Rhinolophus ferrumequinum: one gene and its partner. The protein of the gene in region 1 interacts with the protein of each later gene in a biochemical or structural test. Links are inferred from orthologs where the notes say so. Each region holds a gene or a part of one and is shown in the gene's direction. Other genes may lie near its edges.

The links.
Region 2: the proteins of COPS7A (region 1) and COPS6 form a complex in vitro, tested with the Homo sapiens proteins (3 studies listed by BioGRID, with this or other methods). The link is inferred for Rhinolophus ferrumequinum from reciprocal best matches to the Homo sapiens genes COPS7A and COPS6.

The regions. Positions count from the first base shown.
Region 1 is NC_046293.1:23,927,180-23,935,233, forward strand, and holds the start of COPS7A (COP9 signalosome complex subunit 7a), read left to right. Parts: upstream 1-4,110; 5' UTR 4,111-4,255; exon of another isoform or gene 4,256-4,418; intron 4,419-4,740; 5' UTR 4,741-4,783; coding exon 4,784-4,945; intron 4,946-6,619; coding exon 6,620-6,695; intron 6,696-6,923; coding exon 6,924-7,012; intron 7,013-7,988; coding exon 7,989-8,054.
Region 2 is NC_046290.1:90,377,560-90,385,613, forward strand, and holds COPS6 (COP9 signalosome complex subunit 6), read left to right. Parts: upstream 1-3,163; 5' UTR 3,164-3,211; coding exon 3,212-3,278; intron 3,279-3,500; coding exon 3,501-3,626; intron 3,627-3,841; coding exon 3,842-3,973; intron 3,974-4,294; coding exon 4,295-4,383; intron 4,384-4,482; coding exon 4,483-4,545; intron 4,546-4,838; coding exon 4,839-4,886; intron 4,887-4,962; coding exon 4,963-5,077; intron 5,078-5,168; coding exon 5,169-5,261; intron 5,262-5,358; coding exon 5,359-5,459; intron 5,460-5,577; coding exon 5,578-5,718; 3' UTR 5,719-5,832; downstream 5,833-8,054. Other genes in the region: DNA replication licensing factor MCM7, read right to left, coding at 6,977-7,178, 7,355-7,464. UniProt on the Homo sapiens protein: Component of the COP9 signalosome complex (CSN), a complex involved in various cellular and developmental processes.

The DNA.
Region 1 (8,054 bases):
AATATTAAAAGAGAAGAACAAAGTTGGAAGACTGACACTACCTGACTTCAAGACTTACTGTAAGGCTATAGTGATAAAGCTAGTGTAGTATTGCCAAAAAAATAAACAAATAGATCAATGGAACAGAATAGAGAGCCCAGAAATAGACCCCCATAAATATAGTCAACTAATCATTAACAAAGAAGCAAAGGCAATACAATGGATCAAAGATGGTCTCTTCAACAAATGGTGCTGGAACAACTGGACATTCTCATGCAAAAAAAATGAATCTAGTCACAGACTTTGAATACACACACAACTTTCAGAAAAATTAAAGTGGATCACAGACCTACATAGACTGGGACATGTAAAATGCAAAACTATAAAACTCCTAGAAGATAACATAAGTACAAACCTAGATGACCCTGAGTATGGTGATGCCTTTTTTAGAGACAACACCAAAGACATGATTGATGAAAGAAATCATTGATAAGCTGGACTTAACTAAAATTTAAAACTTCTGCTCTGAGATAGGCAATATCAAGAGAATTAGAAGACAAGCCACAGACTGGAAGAAAATATTTGCAAAAGGCAAATCTGATAAAGGACTATTAATCAAAATATGCAAAGAACTCTTAAAACTCAATAAGAAAACAGACAATTTGACCCAAACAATGATTTCACCAAAGAAGATATACAGACAGCAAGTAGGTATATGAAAAAATGCTCCACATCTTATGTCATCAGGGAAATGCAAATTAAAACAAGATATCACTACACACCTATTAGCATGACCAAATTCTGGAATACTAACAACACTAAAAGGTGGCCAGGATGTGGAGCAATAGGAATTATACATTGTTGGTGGGAATGCAAAATGGTGCAGCTACTTTGGAAGACAGTTTGGTGGTTTCTTACAAAATTAAACACACTTACTCATGACCCAGCAATCACGTTACTTGGTGTTTACCCAAAGGAGTAAAAAACTATGTACACACACACACACACACACACACAACTGGACATAGATGTTTATAGCAGCTTTATTCATAATTGCCAAAACTTGGAAGCAACCAATATGTCCTTCAGTAGGTGAATGGATAAATAAACTGTGGTACATCCAGACAATGTAATACTATTTGGTGCTAAAAAGAAATTAGCTATCAAGTCATGAAAAGACATGGAGGAAACTTAAAGTGAAAGAAGCCAATCTGAGAAGGCTACATATTGTATGATTCCCACACTATGATATCCTGGAAAAGGTAAAACTATGGAGACAATAAAAAGATTAGTAAGAAAAAAAAAATATTAGTAGGTATCAGGAGTGGGGGGTGGGGAAAGATAAATAGGCAGAGAACATAGAAATTTTAGGACAGTGAAAATACTCTGTGTGATATTAAACGATGGATGTATGTCATACAAACCCACTTATTGTACACCACCAAAAGGGAATCCTTTGGTAAACCATGGATTTTGGATGATTATAATGTGTCAATATAAGTTCATCCTTGGAAAAAAAAAAAGTACCATTCTGGTGAGTGATGTTGATAATGGGGGAAGTTATGCATTGTAGTCACACAGCAGCCTAGCCAACTGTCCCCCCGTGTCTTTCCTTAAGGAAAGAAGAGTCTGTAAGACTGTGCCTTTCTGGGACTCTGTTCCATCCTTGTGTTTACACCTTATGTCTCTCTGTCCGGTCCCCAAAAGATGGTTTGCAGCCAAAGACATAAGATACCTCATGGGAGATACAACCTAAGCCAGGCGGAACCGAGTGGGGACCCCTAATGAGCTGCCTTAGAGAAATATGAAAAGGGGCCTTGCCTCCCCTTCCCCCTGCCTGGGAAAGTCTGTTGCCGGCTCTGGCTTTTCCCTTGCACCTGTTTGTGAGAAAAATCATGAAGACAACAAAGATCAGTTCTCTCACTTATCTCAATGGAGCTGTTACAATATGAGAGACTTGACCCTAAAAAGGTACATACCTTAGGTTAGACATCATGGGACCTTGTGCTTCGGCTGTTTATAGACAAAGGGTGATTGGAATAAACATTTTTCTACTATGATGTATGAGTCTCACAGACCGTGTAAGAAACAATGTTACTTTCTTGTGTTTGTATACCTATCAATAAAAACCTTCAGTCAGCCTTATTCTGGGCTCCAGCCCTCTGAGACTGACAGACCCCTGGCCTTCTGAGAGATTTAACTGCATTAAGTCTCCGTTTGTTTCTGTCTTAAAAACTTAACGCAAACCGCCCCTTCTCGCACCCTCACTGCCCTTGTTGCGCTGGATGCGACAATGCATGTGTAGGAGCAGGGGTTATATGGGAAATCTCTGTTCCTTCCTCTCAATTTTATTGTAAACCTAAAACTACTCTAAAAAAAATAAAGACTTTTTTAAAAGTTTTAAAAATAAAGACCTAATAGAACATAATAGAACATAGTTGGCTCTTTTCTCGTTCTTTCCTCATTTTTTTTCTTTTCCTCTTTAAATTGATAAGATTGAACTCATAATTCTTTGGTTCCTTCAAACTTTGGATATTTTATTATGTCTTTGATTTCTTCTCACTTTTATGTGTCATCTCTTCCATTCATTTCTTCTTTCTCCTCTTCCACCTCTTTCTCCTTCTTCTTTTTCTTCTCTTTCTCTCCTTTCCTATTTCTGCTTCCCATTTTCTTCTAGAAACCACACCATGTGGACCATAAATTTTAAGTTTAAAGTCCCTTCAGCTGCAGTAGTCTACCAGTCTTATGATTTTCTCTTATTTACTGTCCTCTTTTTCCACGTTCTCCTCTTTCATTTACATATAAATTACTTAACTTCCTTGGCTCTCAGATTTTCAATCTGGAAAATGGAAACAATAATAGGTTGTTGTTATAAGCATCAAACGAATTAAGTAAAGCTCTTAGCTCAGTGCTTAACACAAAAGCCTCCAAGACGTCATTAACTTTTATTCTCATCTGAACTTCTGCAAACCCGGTATGAAATATAAAACAGTATAGAAATGTTAGTTAATTTTTTTCCCCTAAAGTATCATGGTGAGCTTTCTGTGCTCACACTCGTCGTGGTGGCACCAGGTGCTCCCCCAACGTGCAGAACGACGCAGGCGAGTTCGTGGACCTGTATGTGCCGCAGAAATGCCCCGCCAGCAACCATATCATCGGCGCCAAGGACCATACATCCATCCAGATGAATGTGTCTGAGGTTGACAAGGTGACAGGCAGGTTCAATGGCGTTTAAAACCTACGCTATCTGTGGGGCCATTCACAGGATGGGTGAGTCAGATGACTCCATTCTCCGACTGGCCAAGGCTGTCAGCATCGTCTCAAAGAACTTCTGACTGGAGAGAATCACAGATGTGGAGTATTTGTCCTAAATAAATAGTGACCCTCCCCCCAAAAAAAAGTATCATGGTGAAGTGGAAAGATGATTTCGGGTTTGAAAAGACTTGAACCCCAGTTTCCTCATCTGTAAAACGATAATAATACATGCCTTCCTTACACCTAGGTTTTTTTCCTCCCCAAAGAATTAAAAGAGTCAATGTTCAGGAAAGCATCACTCTATAAGTACATGTTGTAATCAAGATAGATGGTGTCCAGGAGTCACACTAGGGACGCTGTAGTTATGAGGATTCAATGGGATAAAATTTTAAAAGATGCCTGACTCAATACATGTAAGTTATTTACCTTTTCCACTTCTTTTCTCTTGCTCCTCAAAAAAATGAGTGGTTGAACTACCCAGATGATCTCTGCTGCTAAACTTCTATTATTGATATGGTCTCCTTCCACTCTCCTCCTCAAATCCCGCTTCCCGCCCCTCCCCCCTGTTTTTCCTCCTCTTTTCCCATGACAGCCTTCCTCTCGCCTCAGGGACCCCCGTGCAGCCAGGTCTCCAGATTTCTGGCAGCTTGGAACTGACACAGAACCACCCGGTACCTGCCTGAGATCAGAGGTTCTCTCTACAGTTAGCGTCTAGCGCTGGCCAACAATAAAGTTTTATTGAAACAAAGCACGAAAAAAGCGCCCGTCAGTCTTTCCTCAACAGTCAATCAGAGAGTAGAATGCGTGTGTCGCTCACAGCTACTTCAGCAGTCGGAAGGCGAGAGCGAGGAATATCCCGCCCCAAACCCGCCTAGTAAGAGCGGAAGTGCGGCCGGAAGTCATCCATAGAGTTTAGTGGCCAGAGCGACCCTGCATGGAGGTGGCAGGAAAGGCTCGGAACAGCTGCCGGAGGTGACGGAGCGACGGTCCCGCCCCGTGCTCTGGAAGACGAAGCTTCCAGGTAGCGGCCCGCAGAGTCTATTCCAGGGTACGACACAGCAGTCGGCGGGAGCCCGCGGTCCCGGGGCGGCCTCTTTAAGGGAGGGGGCGGAGCCACGTGGAAGGATCTTGAGGGTGAGGTCACGTGGTTGGGGGCACCTGCGGGACACAAGTGGAGATACGAGGTAGCGTCGTCACTGGGATGGACACCATGTGACACCCATTCCCCCACTGCATCTTGTGCTTTGGGGTTCATTGGGGTGCATGTGGTGGGTTTTGGGGTTAGGCCCAAGTGTGGGAGGAGGGTGGGCGTGGCAACCTTGTATCAGCCAGGCTTCCATCAAAGTGGCCCCGTATTAGGATTCCGAGGTCCGAGCTTTAGACTGCTCCGTCTCTGATTCCTCTTTGCAGAAGTGACTCGGTGCCTCTGCAATCAGCCCCTAGCCCTGTGCTTCCCATTCCCCCACTGTTTAGGGACCTCCATTTTCACATCCTCTTTCCTTTCAGGTCCAGACATCCTGAGCCCAAGTACCCCCAGCTCAGTGCAGCCATGAGTGCCGAGGTGAAGGTGACAGGGCAGAACCAGGAGCAATTTCTGCTCCTGGCCAAGTCGGCCAAGGGGGCAGCACTGGCCACACTCATCCACCAAGTGCTGGAGGCCCCTGGTGTCTACGTGTTTGGGGAACTGCTGGATATGCCTAATGTTAGAGAGGTGGGTCCTGACCTGGATAGCCCACAGGGAAGCTTGGGGCTAAAGTTTGAATTTGAGAATGGGGGGGCAGGGCTCATTTTGTAACCCCATAACCATTCAGTTGAACAAGAATAGGATGATGATTAACTGGCATCTTGCAAGAGTACTAAGTACACAAGTAAGCCTCTTAGTTTCCCTTTGAGGATAAGTGATCTGTGAAACCCGATATTCTTAAGCAAAAGAGCCTGTTATTCAGAATAGGAGACCTGATTCCAGCCTGTCTCCACCAATGTAATAGCCCTTAATAATCATGTCACCTTGATCAGGATACTTTTATTTTAGGGGCTCAGTTTTCTCTTTTAAAAATGGAGCTGATAATGCCCCCTCACCGTTACTATAAAAATCAGATGAAATTATGAGAAAGTGTGAAGTCGGGTATAAATGGAAGGAATGTAACATGAGATTGGCATGCCCTGTACTCCCCTCTTTGCACCATATGCTAATTCACTTAAATTAGATCAGGTAGAAGCTGTCCTTTTTCATAAAGACATGTGGCAAGATGCTAGAAACACAGCATAGAGAACTATTCACACAGACGTGGCAGAGTTAAGAGTTTAAAATCCAGGGTGGGTGAGTCGCCAAGATATATGACACCAGCCCAAGTCCTGAGATGCTATGACAGTGGTATGTGGGCAAACTATGAGTTAAATTGTTGAGGGCCAGTGATTGAGTCAGCGGATTTAGCCTTCTGGGATCACTCTGTGGTACGGAGAAAACTGGCTGCCTTCTTTCCCTGCTTTCCTCTGCAGTGGAACTAAAGATATTCAGTCAAGGTGAAGAAAAAGCACATATTGTATGTATATTTAGCACTCTGCTAGTTGTCTGGGAATGCCAGAAAAGTAAGAGACAATAGAGCTTATCCTTCTGAAACTTACTTCCCAGTTACAGAGATCAGACGAATGGATATACATGTACATATCATTTATTTAGCAAGTATTTATTGAGAGAGCCAACTACATACTTAACTCTGCTAGACCTAAGTGGGATACCAGAGACTAGGTCTATAATCCTGTTGGAAAGAAATACATTCTTAGGTAACAACCTTAGGTAGGGTTTGATTGAATAAGTGCCAGAATGAGTGATCAGTGATAGAAAAGGAGATCTAGGTGGGCTGCCCTGGATGAGAAAGCCCCCTGGGTGAGGCAGGTCTGAAGCAGAGGCCACAAATTCCAATGACTGCCTAGGCCATGTAGCTGTCAGAGATGAGTGAGGCTGAGGCAGGAGTCTGGTGAATAGGGGAGTATAACAAACTGCCTAAAGATAATCAAACTCACAAATATTAAACACACTCTAAGGACCAAACAACACCATTTGCAATGTTGGGTGTGTGTGTGTGTTAGATACTGAACGCTATGAATGTTTTAAACTCTGAATTTAGGGTAGGAATTGGGGGCATATGGAGGAAGAGGGCATTGTAGGTTTGGGGGAGCAGTGTAAGCAAAGGCCTAGCGGTGGAAATGAGGCCTTCCTATGGGGAGAGTGATGAAAGATGCAGACAGTTCCTCTCAGTGAGCTGGGAGAGTTAATGGAGACGAACGATGGGGCCAGAAAGTGGGGTTTGAAACAGGGAAAGGCTGGGAGGAGGTGAACAGAGAGGCCCTTCTTCCTGTCATCTCTTCCCTCATATTCTTGCAGCTGGCTGAGAGTGACTTTGCTTCAACGTTCCGCCTGCTCACGGTGTTTGCTTATGGGACATATGCTGACTACCTAGGTAACCAGAGGGCTGGAGCTCTAGAGTAGTGGAGGTGGGAGAAGGGCATTTTCTGGAGGGACTTAGAAGTTCCTGGGGTACCCTACTTAGATCCCTTAGGTACACAGAGTCTTGGGTCAAGCCTGAATTGGCATGGACAACTGAAAAAAAAAAAAATCAGTGGAAGGAGGCTAGGCCTTCCCACAAGAAGGGAATCAGAATTTCCTATACTTTGTCCTTTTTTCCTAGCTGAAGCCCGGAATCTTCCCCCGCTCACAGAGGCTCAGAAGAATAAGCTTCGACACCTGTCCGTCGTCACCCTGGCTGCCAAAGTCAAGGTGAGTGATAGTTCCCCCAGTCCTGAGCCAAAGAGCATCCTTTTGTATAGCCCTTCACAAGGGCCTGTCTGAAGAGAATTTGTACTTGGACAGCCGTTGACCACACTGTTGCTTCTTTCTGCTTTCCCCGCCATGTCCCTCCAAGGTCTGTATTTGAACTCCATTACCTGCAGCCTTTTAGGCTAAATATTCTCTTAATTTTCTGTTCTTTTAATTTTTTAATCAAATTCTAAACATCTTTAGTTTTGGGTCCAAATAGCAACTAGGATGCCATTCACTGTGTTGTTCAACAATCACCCTCCTCCCCATTATAGAAATTCCCATCCAAACAGCCTCCACGCTCAGAGCTGGGAACACGGTTCTGTCTGCTGGTGGAATACTAGGCTTCTATTTCCTAGAATAAGAAATAATGTAACCTGGAAGTGTCTCTATATTTCCTGTTAGGTTTGGTTTTTCGTTAAATATCCCCCTCCCGCCCATCTGCACTCTCCCAATTGTTACTAGGCTCTCCCGTTGTTTTCATGATTTTACTTAAATCAGGCTCTCTATTGTGAGAAGCCTCTTTGGAAGTACGCAGTGTGTAAATGGTGAACAGTAACTCCGGACCTCTCCCTCACCACACACTCCCATTATGTCAAGCTGATCTTGACCAAGGTCTGAGTGCTACCTTGAGCTGTGGCCAGAGGATTGACACCCACGTAGAGGTCACTTTCTTCCTCTGTGGTGTGGGAGGTAAGGATGGGAGGAGAGCATAAATCTTCCATTTTAAGATTGTCCTTCTCATGCTATTATTTTTCAGGTGGGAATACTTTTATTTATTTTGCTTTAGAACCAACCTTTTAGAAGACATATTTAGGAGTAGGAGGGGAGGGTAGGCAGGGGAGCCTAGGCTGGGGAAAGGAAGGAAGAAGAATGTTGGAAGCCTCTCTCTGCAGCAGAACCTCACAAATCCCAGCCCGACCTCCCTGGGCCCCAGTGTATCCCATATGCAGTGTTGCTGGAGGCCCTTGCCCTGCGTAACGTGAGGCAGCTGGAAGACCTT
Region 2 (8,054 bases), on another chromosome or scaffold:
GAAAAGATGACAGGAAACTAATATATAGGTCAAGGTGGAGGGTATAATGGTCTTTGCAAATTTTGTAAAAATGCCCTCTTTCACTCACACCTGACCCTTCTGGACAAAAGGTCTGTATGCAAATAGGGGATAATTGGAGAAAAAGCTACTAGGATGTGACACACCAATTTTGTGGCCATAGAAGAAGAGCAATAACCCAGCAACTGGAAAGGGAACACCTTAGACCCAGGAGGTGCAGGGAGGTGGGAGGAGGATCCCTTAACGTTCTCTTTGTCGTCTAGATCTAGCACCACCGCAGCCTAGCAAGCCCATCCCGTGGCTACCTGAGCTAGGCAGCAGCTCTGGCTGGATTTGCCAGCACTGAAACTCCTCCTTGTGAACACCTCTCCCCATTCCATCTGCATGCTGACACACAGACCAGCACAACCTTGTTTCAAACCCACTACTACAAATTCATGCGCTTCTCCTGAGGCCCAAGTGTCCTTGAGTCAGCAAATCCTATTAACTCTACTTTCCAAATGTATCCTGAATTCAATCAGGACTCACAGGTTTTGCCCTGTCCAGGGCAGCTGGGTGAAGGGGCAAGTGGGGACTGAAACCCAGCTTGAGCTTAGAAGGGACATCCTTTTCTTTTTTTGGAGAACTTTTAAGATTTCCTCTCTTAACAACTTTCAAATATGCAATACAGCACTACTAACTATAGCTGCTGTACTAGAGACTTTTTCCAATACACACCAGGGCATGTGGATAGCTACAGGCCTGAGTCATCTCCTACCTCTGCCTCTACTGCCCAGGTCCAAACCATGGTCATCTCTCACCTGGATTAGGACAATAGCTCCAGTTTTCCATGCTTCTATGTCCCCTACCATCCATCTAACCTCCATGCATCAGCCTGAGTGACCCTTTACAGCCTTGAGTCAAATCAAGTCATGTGTCTGTTCAGACTGAAAGCCAAAGCTCACGAGTCCTCACCTGGTCTGACCCTGTTACCTCTCTGATTTCATTTCATCTCAGTCCTTCAGTCCCCACTTGCCCCCTCACTCAGCTCCAGTCATTGGCTTTCTCATTATTCCTGGAACACATCATGCATTCTCTTGCCCAAAGACCTTCGCACTTGTTCCATTTGGAATACTCCTCCTCCAGCTCTCCTTACACCTTGCTCCCTGACTCCATTCTGGTCTTCCCTTCCATGTAAAACACCACCCCTCGAATCCCTTTTAATATCCTTATGTGTGCTTATTGTCTGTTTCTTACAACTCGAGTGTAAGCTTCATGAAATCAGAACTTGGTTGTGTTCAGTGCTGTAACCCCAGCACCTGGAATTGTGCCTGCTGCATAGTAGGCACTCCTAAATATTTTTTAAGTAAATGAATGAATGATGGATGGGTGGATGGATGGATGGATAATCACTGACCCCAAAGAGTAGAATTTCTTGATAACACCACAGATTCAAAGCAATCGGTGACTCAGTCTGTGTTCTTTCCTGGAGGGCCTTCCCTTCAGTCCTTGGTATCTTCTTTGCTGACTCTCTGAGCAGCTATTCCCCACCAGCCCAGTTACCTCCACTCTGTGGAAGGAAAAGTTAGCAAAACAACAAAATGATGCATTGTGTTTAATTTTGTTGGAAGGTAGAAAGAGAACTGTGGGATAAGTTGCCTTAACACAATTTCAACTTGAGTTTTTGTTAGTAGATTTTTAATACAATGCACTTTTAAGAAATGCTCAGTGAGCTTACTTCCAAAGCATGTATAATCAACTGATTCAATTTCAAAATCATCCTTGAATTTCACAATAACCACTGTTTTATGGGTTGTATAATTATCTGAGCAGTTTCAAAAGCATTTGAAACAACAAAAAGACAAAGAAGTACTTTAATGTGTGAAACAACAACACCAACTGTCAACTTTATTAACCCTAGAATAATTCTTGTCTTTATTTTAGCCTTCAATCTGAGAAACTCCTTAAACGTTGCCTATCATGTAAAAGAGATAGATTTTTCTGACCTCATTTTCCCTAAAATGGCACATATGCTTTTCTTCCATTACTGTCTCAGTTGGCTGGAATGTTTTTCACTGGAGATTAGAATGAGATAAACTCTTTCTCAACTTCCCCTTGGCCAGAAGACCCCTATCCCTGCAGGATTTCTCAGGCCTCTTCCTTTGAGTGTTGCTGGCCCTTCAACTTTCCTTTATCCAGGTTCCTAAGTGGAGAGGTTACTTAATTCATGTAAGTTATTATTATCACTAGAAAACATCTCCAGTACCTGCTAGTTCTGGGCACCAGAATAGGCTCGTGGGGTCCAGAAACAGGTCTCTACCTGCTTTCTAGAGCTTACATTTTGGGTGGGGTACAGACACATATTAAAAAGCCAACCAGACATGTTGGGGCAGCAGAAGGGGTAAAGGCGGTGTACACAATTTGCGTACATGGAAGAGTGGGGAGAGGGCTGGAGTGGTCTCTTTGCCAGAGGTGAGATTTACGGAGATGGAGAGCACAGGGAGCGTGGAAGGGGTTAGGAGATTCTGGGGATGCCCCTAATACTGTTGTTAATACCATTATTTGGGAGGAGGAAAGATAGGACTTGCAGAGAGCTACTCAAGACCAGGCTCCACCCCAAAGTATTCATCCATTTACTCAAAAATCATTTAGGTACCCGTGTCAGGTACCGTGTTGTCTTAGGGGTTATAATGATGAACATGACAAAAGGCCCTTGCGTTAGTGGGGCGTGTTAAAAGAACAGGTGTGAGAGCTAGCGTGGCTGAAACATGGGGACCAGGGGGCAGAAAAGGCCAGGGCCCATTGACAAGCAGGGGCCGAATCATACAGGGCCTTGCAGGCCGCGGTTAGCAGCTTGGATTTTATTCTGAGGGCAATAACATGACATTTCATTCATTCTGTAATAGACTTAGGGACTAGGCAATCTTAATCGAATTCTGCTGACGAAGACGGAAAGGTTGGGGTAGGGTTAAGTAATTTGTTTAAGGTCAGTCGCAGACGAGAGCCTGGGTCAGGGTCTAGGAAAATCTGTCGGCTTCAGGGCCATGCGGGCGTCGGACTTTTGCCGCCGGAGGGCTGCGGGCGGACACCAGGCAGGTAGGACAGCCGCTGTCTTGCGCCAGAGCAGGCGCGCGCCCCGGGGACGATGCGCATGCGCCGCCACGGACGGAAGCCGGGAAGGGGGGCGGGGCCGAGGCCGGCGGGCGCGGGGAAAATGGCGGCGGTGGCAGCTGCGGCGAACGGGACTGGGGGGAGCAGCGGGATGGAGGTGGATGCAGCAGGTAACGGGCCCCGCGGGGGCGGCTTCTGGAGACGGCCTTCGAGGTGCGTTAAGGCCGCCTTCCTGGATCTCAGGAGAGGTCAGGAGGGTGGACGGTAACATCGCTCCCTGGGATAACTTGCGGGAGGGATATATGGCCCGGCTCTGCCATCTCCCACTCCCGTCTCCTGGGAAGGGCGTGGGGCCCGGAGTCTCACTCTCTCTCCTTCTCCTCCACCTTTAGTAGTCCCCAGCGTGATGGCTTCCGGAGTGACTGGGAGTGTTTCAGTTGCTCTTCATCCCCTGGTCATTCTCAATATCTCAGATCATTGGATTCGCATGCGCTCCCAGGAGGGGCGGCCTATGCAGGGTGAGTGTTCAGCCTAATTCTGCAACCTCCTTTCGTTGGTCACCTCCACCAAACAGTGGTCTGTTCTCCTTCTTTTCCTGAAGATAATCCTTCCTCGGCCAAATCACCATTTCCCCTGTATTTAGTTCACATTGACTTCACACCCTCCAGCTGTAATGATTAGGTAAGTTTTGGGATTCTTGCCTCTCACCCCTGTGTGTCCTTCTCTTCCCCAGTGATTGGGGCTCTGATCGGGAAGCAGGAGGGCCGAAATATCGAGGTGATGAACTCCTTTGAGCTGCTGTCACACACCGTGGAAGAGAAGATTATCATTGACAAGGAATATTATTACACCAAGGAGGAGCAGTGTGAGAGGGGAATAGAAGTGGAAGAGAGGAGTGGGAGGAAAAAAAAAAGCAGAGTGGGGAAGATGGAGAGGGTTGGGGAAAAATAAACAGGACATGGGATGAGAACGGTGGGAAAGTGGAGTACCTGAAGAAATCTCAGAAAAAGAACACATTCGGGTATTCTGCCCCAAAAAAATGAAGGATGAGAGAAGAAAATAACCATTCTAAAATGAACCGGGATTTGAGGGGAAGGAGAGAAGCTGGTGAAAATACACCAGGAGCTTCAAATTAAGGAAGGATGGTTTAAAGAAATACTTTGTGCTCTGGCCCCTTCCTCTCCAGTTAAACAGGTATTCAAGGAGCTGGAGTTTCTGGGTTGGTATACCACTGGGGGGCCACCTGACCCCTCCGACATCCACGTCCATAAGCAGGTATACGTGCTCACACATGTGCATGCTGGGGTAAAGAATAGAGGATGAGGGAGAGAAGAAAGATGGGCAATACACTTATCCATCATCCCCCTCTTCCAGGTGTGTGAGATCATTGAGAGCCCCCTCTTTCTTAAGTTGAACCCCATGACCAAGCACACGGATGTGAGTAACACTGACCCAATGCCCATTTGGTCATACTTGTCTATCGCTATGCTTATCTTTTTTACTCATCCCCTGCTGTCTTTTACTGTGTGACATCTCTGTTGAATTGAATCTTCATTCTGCCATTTATCAGCTATGTCTTTGGATTAACCTGCATTTTTCTTATGTGTAAAACAGCGATAATCTGTCCTTCATTGGCCCTTCAATGTGAAACTGCCAATCCCAATTTTTGGCACATAGTATAGTTTCAGGTGGATTTGATGTAAGAGCTGTTCTCCATCTCTTCTTTACAGCTTCCTGTCAGCGTTTTTGAGTCTGTCATCGATATAATCAATGGAGAGGTAATGCCCTACCCTTCAACCCTCAGATCCTGCCCCTGATGTTTCCCGCTTTTGACTCTCCCTATGTGTCCTGTAGGCCACAATGCTGTTTGCTGAACTGACCTACACCCTGGCCACAGAGGAAGCTGAACGCATTGGTGTAGACCATGTCGCCCGAATGACAGCAACAGGCAGTGGAGAGAACTCCACGGGTAATGGAGGCTGGAGGGGCATACTTGGAAGTGGGGGTGGAAGGTGTAGCCACAAGCCTTTTCAACCGTGGCCTGTCCCTGCCCCCTGCAGTGGCTGAACACTTGATAGCACAGCACAGCGCCATCAAAATGCTGCACAGTCGCGTCAAGCTCATCTTGGAGTATGTCAAAGCCTCTGAAGCAGGTAGGACGGGGACTCCCTGGCACTCCTACCACTTTTCCACTCCCTCCTGGGGAAGTGACAACATCCACATTAATGCATCCTCTCTTTGTACCTTTAGGAGAGGTCCCCTTTAACCACGAGATCCTGCGGGAGGCCTATGCTTTATGTCACTGCCTCCCGGTACTCAGCACAGACAAGTTCAAGACAGACTTTTATGATGTGAGTGTTAAAACCCAGGAAGGTGGGTGGGGCTTATGCTATCATTTCTGCATGCAGGACATAGGACTCAGGTGTTCCCTGGCATGTGAGGGACCTGGATCTTTCTGTTCCCTCCCAGCAATGTAATGATGTGGGGCTCATGGCCTACCTTGGCACCATCACCAAAACGTGCAACACCATGAACCAGTTCGTGAACAAGTTCAACGTCCTCTATGACCGACAAGGCATCGGCAGGCGGATGCGGGGGCTCTTCTTCTGAGGGTACTTGAAGAGATGACGCACAGGGGTCAGAACTGTCCCAGAGGGGAGAGGTGTTCCACTCCCCTTAGAGAAACCTGTCATTAATAAAAGGGGAGTGCCCCCTCAGCACCCCTTCCAGTGGCTCTGTCCTCTGTTAGGCACCACATAGGTTTCTCACTTGGATGTTAGGCTCTCGGTTCCAGCCTTGCTCAGAGGCATGAGTCCCATTTTATCATCAGTTCTTCTCAACACCTTTCAGTGGTTGGGAGCTCACTGCCACTTGAAGTGACCCCAAGTCTGGTCAGGTAGACTGTCTATATTGAGCCAAAGGCTGCCTGCTTCCACCTAAGCAATGGGTTTTGCTCTTTAGTATCTCCCTGTAAACAAATGACCCCTTTCCCAAGCTTAGTTTTTCACACACAAAAAGAGATTGGGAGGGAGCGGGATATTAAGCACATTTCTATGAGGGACAACTGAGTCTTGATCCTATAGCGAGCACTGAGTATTGCCAAGAGGGAGATGTTTCCCAATTATTGCTAATGTTTGAGTGCTTGCTACAGAATATGTACCTGACCCAGCAGGCACCTCAGCCAGCCCTAGGAGGCAGATACTAGTGTCCGTATCATTTTAGAGATGAGGCCAGGGGGTGTAAACATGAAGACTGTTCTATGCAATTACTTGTGCCTCCCTCCAGGTCCTTGATTTTCATCCCCTAACCAGGCCTTTCAAGTTGTATTTGGGGACGAAAGAGGTGTGAGTACTGAGGGGTCTGTTGGAGGCATTTTGGAAGGTAGACATGGAGTTGGCTTAGAGGCTGTTTCATACTGGCAGCTGTATCCCCAGAACTAGAAGGGAGCACAGCAGGAGACTCAGTATACATTTGAATCTGGAGGGGAGTAAGAGCAGGCAAGGGGTCAGAGTGGAGATGCAGTGCGACCCGCTGTACAGCGGCGTTTTCATTCCTTGCTGCGTTCCCAGTGTCTGTCTTGGTAGCTGGCAGGGAGAGTAGGTAGTTCATACATTTATTGAGTAAATGAAGACGAGTATAAAAGGAATAAGAGATGAATCTATAAAATGTACAATACCCAGTTTTATTAGAAGGAGGCAATCTACACACACTTTATTAGCAAAAGGAATGTATAAAACAAGTGCAGCTCAGGAAAACGGGGGTGAGGGGTGTCCTCCTTTCCCCTCAAGGGCATCGTTAGACCTTTAAAGGAAGGGGGGTGTTTAGCACGGTACGCAGAACAGACCCCAGTATCTCAAGTGGGCTGGAATCAGACAAAAGTGATCCGTGTCCGGGCAGTATTAACCTGCCAGACATTTAACTCCTCATACTCATCTAGAGCTGCCTGGAACTGGGCAGGTGTGAAGCCCCGGGATATGCAGCGCTGCTCTGCCTCAGAAAACCGGACACTTCGGCCCTCTGCGACCAACTCACGGACAGTGGCAAATATCACATCTGCTGGTCTCTGGGTCCTGAAGGAAACAAGTGTGGATGTGTAAGGTCAGGGCTACCGACAAGAGCACCCAACATGTCAGAACAGTGGAATTCTGAGGCAATCATACATGTGGTTGCAGAAGCCACAAGGATAAGTGGTCTGCTCAGGAAAGTCAAGGTGACTCCTGATTTCCTTCTCCATTAAACCACTCACCTAGCTGTTTGTCCTTTGTCACTCAAAAGTGAGTCCTTTGACATCTCCATTAGCCTGATGGCTTCATTCACATCTTCCTTCTCCACTGTGTCCACCATTCGCAGACGTGCCTAAGGGGAAGGTAGGGAGAGATGGGAACGGGAGGAGGGGAGTGGAATAGTCAGGGGACCCCCGTGTTTCAGCTTTAAGGCTGGGCAACTCATGGGGTGCCTACGCACAAAACAGGTGGAGGCCCCCTACCCTCCCCTGCAAACATCCGCAGTGTGGGGCCGGCACTGTCAGACCGAGACAAGTGCAATGCCCAGGGCAGCGTCCAGCAATTGCCCAAGTCTCCGCCTCTCAACACTGGCCAGTCCCGGTGTTCAGCTGTCCTGTGAGGGAGACCAGACCCTTCTGAACTCCACTGGGCTCCCCACCATGACAGATGGAGCTTGGGGAGCTCAGCCTAGCAGGTGATTGGCAGAGAGGTTGTGTCCCTGGGGCTCGGGAAGTGCTAGCTCAGCAGTAGGTCAGGTAATCACACTACCTGCACGAACAGCACTTTGGAGCCCCCAGGACTAAGTAAGGTCCAAGAGGTGAGGACAGAAATGAACGTTTCTAACACAAGGATTTAGGACACGGGGAATGAAATTCACCCCTCCCACACCGGCAGTGAGGTTTGAGAAGCCAGGCCTTTCCCTCCATGGATGCTGTGCGTGCC